Linked DNA regions of Sus scrofa. The protein of the gene in region 1 interacts with the protein of each later gene in a pairwise test. Links are inferred from orthologs where the notes say so. Each region holds a gene or a part of one and is shown on either strand. Other genes may lie near its edges.

Region 1 (4,376 bases):
CTCAGTATAATGTTACAACAATGTCATAGCATGTATATGTTTATTTTTATGGTTGAATGATATTCCATTGTGTGTGTATACACACCCACACTACATTTTTAAAAATCCATTCATAACTTGATGGACACTTGGGTAGAAACTTTGTTTTGTTTTCAAATAAGTGAAGTTATCAAGAAAAAAAAAATAAATGGTCCCATGTAATTTTGACAGTTTTCCATTTGTTTCTCCTGAGGAAGTTGAGGACACAGTGACTCCCGGCTGTTTGCACACGATCACACCACTACAGGATAAAGTGAACAAGTGCAGCTAACAAGGGCCTGCATAACCTGGACTTTGCAGGCGTCTCCAGCCTCTTAAATTCCACCAACTTGTTTCCCGGTTCCCATAAAACCTCTTCCTCTTTTGCTGTCTTCTCTTTGCACATGCTGTTCCCTCTGCGTGGAACACCCCCATTGCTCTCCCTAATTTTTTTGGGGGGGGTCTTTTTTGCCTTTTCTAGGGCCGTTTCCGCGGCATATGAAGATTCCCAGGCTAGGGATCCAATCGGACCCATAGCCACCGGCCTACACCACAGCCACAGCAACGTGGGATCCGAGCCGCGTCTGCAACCTACACCACAGCTCACGGCAACGCCGGATCGTTAACCCACTGAGCAAGGGCAGGGACCGAACCCGCAACCTCATGGTTCCTAGTCGGATTCGTTAACCACCGCGCCACGACAAGAACTCCAGCTCTCCCTAATAGATGGCGTGCTTGTTCGTTGCTTCTAGCTTTTCCCCTTAAAACATTTACTGTTGTAAATGTAAAGGTTTCTGTTTCCGCATCTTAAAGGACGGAGCTGTCTTGTACATCACTGTGAGCTCTGCATCTACTGTAGTGCTCACCTCTTACTAGGTAATAGAAATATTTCATTATTTCAGTTCCCTGTACAACTTAGTTCCATTAATTCACAGTATGCTTGGTCGAGCCAGACATAAAATTGTTGGAATCCTGGCGTGGGCGTGAAAGTGAGACTTGGGCTGAGTCTTCGGGATTCTCAGGCCATCGGAGGAGGGCAAATTCCTCCTGCCACGCTAAGGGTAGCTACAGCAAGGTTCTTTCGGGGGTGGTATTTGTGGCTGCGTCGCTACAGCGGACTTTACGATGTAGAGAGAGGCGGTCCTACCGGCAGCGGCCGGGGCAGCGCAGGAGCAGCGGCTCGAATCTGATCATGTGACTTTCAACATGGCGGCGGCCTCGCGCCGCTCCAGGAAGGGGCGGGGCTTGAGCAGGGGGCGGGCGCAGACTCAGGTTTTAGTGGGGACCCGGCTCGCGTTTACAGACAGCTGATCATGGAGGCGAACGAGTCTGGGTGAGTCCTTTACCACGTAGTTTGGCCGGCGGGGCTTCTGACCTGAACGTTTCCGCTCAGGAATCTGTCCCTATACCCCTCCTCCCCAGCCCCGGAGAGCTCTCAACCTGAACCCAAGTCGCTGGAATCCCAAATCCTCCAACCAGGATTCCTGAGACATTCATCCCAGGGAATGTCTCGCTGGACTGCGTCCCGCAGACCTTCATTTAGGGGATACCCCCTCGACTTTCTAATCCTCGACTAGGATCCCTATTTCGGACCATCATCTCTGATCCCTCCATGACTGTCCCCCAGCCTGGGGTTCTTCCAGCCCTGAAACAGCCCACTGGTATTCTTGTTCCTGAGATTCTTCTGGTCCAAAGATCCCCAAACTATCCTCACCCCCCCGCCCCCATTCTCCGTGTCTCTTCATTGGCTTTGAGGTTGGGGAAGCTGGGCCAATGTGTAGGGTAGAGGCCCCAGCACGAGCCCTTCTAGTTCTGTGCACCACCAGATAGGCAGAGGGAGGCGGAATCGGCGGGGAGCCACAGCTTGGTAGCTGGCCTGGAGAAGGCAGATAGCGGTGCCAGACTGAATCCACCTTAAGCACCTTAGCCTTGCCCAACTCCTAGCTCAGTTTACTGACACCTACCCCACTCCCTCTGATCTCTAGTCCCCAGGGTTTTCCGGAGCTGAAGAATGACACCTTCCTGCGAGCAGCCTGGGGAGAAGAAACAGACTACACTCCGGTTTGGTGCATGCGGCAGGCAGGCCGCTACTTACCAGGTCAGGGTCGGGGCCTCAGAGTCTAGGTGAAACTCCGAAAGGCAAAAAGTTTTTGAGAGGCAGAGAAGGGCGCGCGCTAGAGGTTCCTCAAAGCTGATCCCTGCCCTCCCTTTTCTGTCTGCAGAGTTTAGGGAAACCAGGGCTGCCCAGGACTTTTTCAGCACCTGTCGATCTCCAGAGGTGTGCTGTGAACTGACGCTGCAGGTGAGGGGTCCACAAAAGAGGGGAGGGATTTATGCCCTCAACTTGCCACCTAGCAACCTGTCTTTGTTTCCCTATAGCCACTGCGTCGCTTCCCCCTGGATGCTGCCATCATCTTCTCCGACATCCTCGTTGTACCCCAGGTACCTGCTCAAACTTTGAACAGGTGGAAAAGAGAAAAGACAGTCAAGGCTCAAGATGAGCACTTATCCTTACTGGACAGAGGGAAAAATAGGCTGGAAGTGATGGAGTTTGGCTGAGTTTTTTTTCCTCCTTTTCCTCCTTCCTGGCATGGGTCGAACAGAACTCTTCCTTTGGAGGTACCCGTTGGGAACTCAGATCTTTCTTCCCCTCCAGGCACTGGGCATGGAGGTGACTATGGTGCCTGGCAAAGGGCCCAGCTTCCCAGAGCCATTACGAGAAGAGCGAGACTTAGAGCGCCTCCGGGACCCAGCAACAGTGGCCTCTGAGCTGGACTATGTGTTCCAGGCCATCACCCTCACTCGGCAACGACTGGCTGGGCGAGTGCCACTGATTGGCTTTGCTGGTGCCCCGGTAATATGGACCAGGGCAGGGACTTGGGCTTGGGGAAACTACGCTGGCAGGTCTGGGTATGGACAAGGGAAGGAAGCGTCAATCTGGCTTCTATACCTGTGACGTTCTCTTTGCACCCTTTTGCAGTGGACTCTGATGACATACATGGTTGAGGGTGGCGGCTCAAACACCATGGCTCAGGCCAAGCGCTGGCTTTACCAGAGGCCGCAGGCCAGTCACCAGCTGCTTCGCATCCTCACTGATGCTCTTGTCCCATACCTGGTGGGACAGGTGGCTGCTGGTGCCCAGGTAAGTCCTGAGGGAGAGACAGACAGGCTGGGGTTTAGGATTAAGGAGAGGAGAGGTGTCTTCATGCCAGGCACAAAATAAGTTTGCTCCGAAATAATGGGGCCGGAGCAGCTAAGCCTAGACCCTTAATGCTGTGTGTGTTCAAAGATCAAAGCCAGTACTGAGATCTGGAGAAGGCAAAACTTTTTGACTGGAACTGGGTTTATAGGCTTAGGCAGTATCAGGGGTTGAAGTCACCTGGGGGAGATTGAGGGACCTTCTGTGTGTGGGGTTAGACACACTTCCTCTTTGTATGTTACCTATTTCTCTTTACCACCCCTCTCATTGCAGGCATTGCAGCTCTTTGAGTCCCATGCAGGGCATCTTGGCCCACAGCTCTTCAATAAATTTGCACTGCCCTACATCCGTGATGTGGCCAAGCGAGTGAAGGCCGGGCTGCAGGAGGCAGGCCTGGCACCAGTGCCCATGGTAAGGTTGAGGATGGGGTGAGTGAAGGCGGGTCTGTGGAACTTTCAGGCTAAGTCCTGGGTGGACCTAAGTGACCACTGGAGGGCAGCAGAGACACAGCGGCGATGTGACAGCAGGCAGAGCAAGGGAAGGCCCTCTGCAGCCTCGGATTTGCCCTTTCCCCCAGATCATCTTTGCTAAGGATGGACATTTTGCCCTGGAGGAACTGGCCCAGGCTGGCTACGAGGTGGTTGGGCTTGACTGGACAGTGGCTCCAGAGAAAGCCCGGTGAGTGATGGGAGGTGAGGTCGGGGGAGGGGGTGCAGCAGCTGCCACAGGTGCAGTTACCGGAACATGGCACTGACTCTGCTTCCAGGGACCGTGTGGGGAAGACAGTGACCCTGCAGGGCAACCTGGACCCCTGTGCCCTGTATGCATCTGAGGTAACAACCAGGTCCCTGTGTTTGTATGTCTGTGAGTTTGTCTCTTTGCACTTCCACGGTTGTGGACATGGTTGTGTTTATTACTGTGTGTGCGTCTCTTTATTATCTGTTTAGCTCTCCCCCCTCCTCCATTCACACCCTGTGAACTCAAGGAAGGCAGGGATTTCTGTTTATTGATTTTGTTCGTTTGTGTTTTCTTAGTGCCTGGCTTATACCAGGCGTCCGGTAAGGTGTTCTGAATGACCGAATGAGTCACACTGAGTGGGAGCATGCACGTGGGTCACTGTTAGGTACGGGGAGGACAGAGGCATGCTGGCCCCCTCTAG
Region 2 (4,406 bases), on another chromosome or scaffold:
AGTTCAGGGGGGACCCATCTGGTCACACATGCCTGAGGCCGGTCAGAAAAGACTTAATCTACACAGCAGACACACAGAAGTCCCTTTTTGGTCTAATTTACACTGAGATTTTAGACTTGCTGAAGGACTAACTTCCATCACAGCCCTGCCAATATTGATTGCTGGGCTCCAAAGTATATAAGTAGATTGATTTCTTTTTTTTCCCCTCAAACTAAAAAGGATCGCAGTAGTATTAGTACATTCCTGTTTCCACTGGTCAGTAGACCCACTGAATAAATAATCGTGTTACCTGGAAAAATTGAGTCAAAAGAAACAGTGATGGAAAACAGAGCAGAGGAGGTCTTGAGTTGCATTCTTAAGCAAACCAAAAAAAAAAAAAAAAAAAAGAGAGAGGGAGAGACAGAGAGCGAGAAAACCACTTTTGTAGAGCTTCCATCTTAGGTAAAATAAACAAAACCAGCATGGAGGGGAGAGAGAGGGAGTGCCCTCTTTTAGTGGAGGTTATAGGCAATACTAGTCTCCTGTCATTTCCTTCTGTAAGTCAGCAGGAAGGAAATATATCCAGCGAGGGCCTCTGCTAATATGCTCTGAATTTAAAGACAATTAGGCAATTCCTACATCCTCTACCGCCAAGAAAAACAACCAGAGCCGAATGCTTTCTTTCACTGTCTTTTGAACTGGGAACTCTCAAAACAATGGAGGTTATGAAATCAACTTTGAGCTAATTTCAAGCAACGTTAATAGTTAATAAAGAGAGCCCTGGTCTTGGAAGCAAGTCACTAACTAGGTCTTTGTTCTGTTTTCTACAGTTCCTTCCTGCGAATTTTTTTTTTCTTACCTGAAAGTTTCACAGGACTTATTTTGTAAACACCTTTAAACTGAAGCACTTCTCCAGTCTGCCTAGGAAAAAATTCTTTTCTGTGACCTTTGGCAAGAAATAGGTTCTAGGAAAGAAAAGAAGGAAGTAAAAGTTTCTTTGTTTCCTAATGTCTGTTCCTCCCTCTCCAGGTACTTTGGGAAAGAACAGGCAAAGGGAAACAGAACAAACACCAAACTCTTAATCCCTCTCTTCTTTCTACACTGGCAGGTGGCGTTTGCTTTACAACTTCTTTTTAAAGCTCACAGCTCCGAAAAATACAACCTGAGCAAGCAGCGAGGGCCCCACAAGGCCTTGCTTTAAGAGGGGAAGCAGGACTCCCAGGGGCTATGCGTACAACAAGAGGGGCGCAGACTGCCAGTCCAGCCAACCCATTGGTTATTTACTAGCGGGATTTAAACCCGCTCCGAAGTGGAGGCGTGGCCTGGGCGGAGCCCCCTGGTCTGGGTGGGCGGGGCGGGGAAGGGGGCGGGGATGCCCGAGGCTCCGCGCGGTGCGGGAAAGACCTGGGCTCCGGGAGCGAGCGTCTGTCTCTTTAAATGCCAGGGGCTGCGCTCCCGCCCTGGGAGCCGGGAGCCGGATCTACAATCCCGTCCCTCCCGCTTCGGCGCTTGTTGCTCGCCCGGCCCGACCGGGAGCTGCAGCCGCCGGGCACCGAGACTGCTTCCTTCTTCTTCTGGAGAGCCCCACCTCCCCGGGAGCCGGTTGAGGGGGAGAAACAGCCCCAGCAGGAGGGAAAAGGTGCCGTGTGAAGAGGCATCACTCCCCCCCTTCAAGTCTTACGCGGGGGCAAGACATGCGCCGCTCCCCCCTGCCCAGCCTCGCAGCCGCCTGCGCCTGGAGAGGAGAGACTGCGGAGCCCACACCTGCAAACTCGTCCTAGAAGTCTCAGGGTGCGGCTGGGGACCCCTCCCAATTCCCCTCGGCCTCCACCTCTCCGCGGGTGAGTTCACGCAGGTAACCCGAACTAGAGGGCGGGCGCGCGGCGGGGGGGAGGCGGGCGAGGAGGGAGGAGAAAGCGCCGCAGGTGAGCCAGGTTGGGCCGCTCACCTGCTCCAGCCTCGCGGCGGCTCCTCGCCGGTTTCTCTCTACGGTTAGATGGCGGGGAGGGCGTCTCAGGGGCTAATTTAGGCCCCTGGGGTGAAAGTGAGAGTAGGAAAGGGGAATTGAAGTAAAGTTTCTTTTTCTTACCCCCTCCTATTTGGGCTTGGCAGGTTAGGGCGCTGGCGGAAGCGGTAGGAGTCGCTGATGCAATGGGCTTTTGCCCAGGCGAGGTGAAGGGCTGGGGGAGGGGGAGAGCTGGAGTTGCCAGGCTTCCTTTGACTGTGACCCTGGAGGTGGAAAACTGAGGGAAAGCTCGCTACATTTGAGACGCCTAGTAAAATGACTCCAGGTGCCTGGCCCTCAGTCTTTTTTCTTCTTCTTAAGAACAAATCGCCCATTTCACCGAATGGCTCCTACATGGCTACCTTGCCTTCTTCTCCCAACAGGTGGTCTCAGCCCCGGTCCGGGGACCTGTGCCAATGACCCTAGTGGTGGTTTCGCTTTCTCCTCTTTCGGCGGTGTGAACGTGTGTCCACGGCGTGATGGGCAACCAGGTGGAGAAACTGACCCACCTAAGTTATAAGGAAGTTCCCACTGCCGACCCGACTGGAGTGGACCGGGATGACGGGCCCCGAATCGGAGTCTCCTACATCTTCTCCAATGACGACGAGGACGTGGAGCCCCAGCCGCCGCCCCAGGGCCTGGATGGCGGTGGCGGCGGTTTGCCCGACAGCGGGGACGGGCCGCCCCTGCCCCCGCCACAGCCCTATGACCCACGGCTGCACGAGGTGGAGTGCTCCGTGTTCTACCGCGACGAGTGTATCTACCAGAAAAGCTTCGCTCCAGGCTCCGCCGCCCTGAGCACCTACACGCCAGAGAACCTGCTCAACAAGTGCAGGCCTGGCGACCTGGTGGAGTTTGTGTCGCAGGCGCAGTACCCGCACTGGGCTGTTTACGTGGGCAATTTCCAGGTGGTGCACTTGCACCGGCTGGAGGTGAGCAACAGCTTCCTGACGGACGCCAGCCAGGGCCGGCGCGGCCGCGTGGTGAATGATCTGTACCGCTACAAGCCGCTGAGCCCCAGCGCTGTGGTGCGCAACGCGCTGGCGCACGTGGGCGCCAAGGAGCGCGAGCTGAGCTGGCGCAACTCTGAGAGCTTCGCCGCCTGGTGCCGCTACGGCAAGCGTGAGTTCAAGATCGGTGGGGAGCTGCGCATTGGCAAGCAGCCTTACCGGCTGCAGATCCAGCTCTCTGCGCAGCGCAGCCACACACTCGAATTTCAGAGCCTGGAGGACCTGATCATGGAGAAACGGCGCAACGACCAGATAGGGCGCGCCGCGGTGCTACAGGAGCTGGCCACGCACCTGCACCCCGCGGAGCCGGACGAGGGCGACAGCGACGCCGCGCGGACTACGCCGCCTCCCGGGCGCCCCCAGGCGCCGGGCCAAGAGGAGGAGGACCGAGAGGCGGTGGTGCACTGACAGGCGAGCTGAGTGCGGAGCTGCGTGAGGGAGCCTTTGCAGCAGCCGCTGCCCCCTCCCTTCTCTCCCTCCCTCCTCCACCATCTTCTGGGTCCCAACTGGGCTCCTGGGCCATTTGGAAAACGGAGAGTTGGCGAAAAGCGCTGCCAGCTGTGGCTTGAGTTTGTTATCTTGGACGGAGGAGGAAGAGGGAGCAGGTAGGAGCATTTTGGCTGGGGGCGCTTCTTGGCTTCTTGCCTGCCCGTTCAATCTGTCTTCCTTTCCGAGGTGAGGCACATTTTGGACTTGCCAGATATTAAGTACCTGCCGGACATGGGTCCAAAAATCGCCCCTTCTTATGCACGCAGGGGTGGAGCAAAGTTCTGAGTACCAGTATCTGCCATTGCCTTCTGCCCGCTTCCCCTCCTACCCTAGGCTTGGAGGATACACTGTACCAAGGCCAGAGCAAGTTTGTGGTGGTGCTAACCCCTAGGAGCAGTGTGAGGGAACTGGGAAGTTGGGATGATTTATGTTATGGTTTTCCTGGGGTGCAGGGCTGGTGGAACCAGGACCCATCTAGGAACAGCAGACTGAAACAAAGGAGCCCCCTGTGAAGTGTAACAAATGATTGAGTAATCTTGGGCTGCAAAACAAAGACTTTGCTACCTCCCCCCTTTCCATCCCTGAGCGGTTTGTCTTCTGAAGTTGGCCTCCTGCATCGCAGGCCAGCCACTTTCCAGGTTACAAGTAAATCCTTGCCACAGGCCCGTTAAGGGAAGGATTCATTTTTGCTTCCGTTCTGTCGCCTTTGTTTTCCTCGCCCACTGTTGTAGGTTGTAGGCACTTACAGCTGCGTTATTAGTTCTAAGAGGGAATAGGCCTTTGTGTCTCTTTTCTAATGAAACTTGCTTGACCATGTTCATCCACAGGCCACACTGTGAGGCTGGCTGCTGCCACCGCATAAAGTATCCACTACAGAAACAGCCAAACAGGGTTGCCCTGGCAGGAATTTGTCAATTTCCTGT

The links.
Region 2: the proteins of UROD (region 1) and FAM84B interact in binary tests that used the Homo sapiens proteins (3 or more experiments, as listed by UniProt). The two-hybrid records come from large-scale screens. The link is inferred for Sus scrofa from reciprocal best matches to the Homo sapiens genes UROD and LRATD2.

The regions. Positions count from the first base shown.
Region 1 is NC_010448.4:166,327,500-166,331,875, reverse strand, and holds the start of UROD (uroporphyrinogen decarboxylase), read left to right. Parts: upstream 1-1,317; 5' UTR 1,318-1,331; coding exon 1,332-1,351; intron 1,352-2,003; coding exon 2,004-2,116; intron 2,117-2,240; coding exon 2,241-2,320; intron 2,321-2,397; coding exon 2,398-2,460; intron 2,461-2,674; coding exon 2,675-2,872; intron 2,873-2,998; coding exon 2,999-3,160; intron 3,161-3,490; coding exon 3,491-3,628; intron 3,629-3,794; coding exon 3,795-3,895; intron 3,896-3,983; coding exon 3,984-4,050; intron 4,051-4,376. UniProt on the Homo sapiens protein: Catalyzes the sequential decarboxylation of the four acetate side chains of uroporphyrinogen to form coproporphyrinogen and participates in the fifth step in the heme biosynthetic pathway.
Region 2 is NC_010446.5:13,443,935-13,448,340, forward strand, and holds the start of FAM84B (protein FAM84B), read left to right. Parts: upstream 1-1,348; 5' UTR 1,349-1,820; exon of another isoform or gene 1,821-1,834; intron 1,835-1,891; exon of another isoform or gene 1,892-2,270; intron 2,271-2,367; 5' UTR 2,368-2,463; coding exon 2,464-3,402; 3' UTR 3,403-4,406.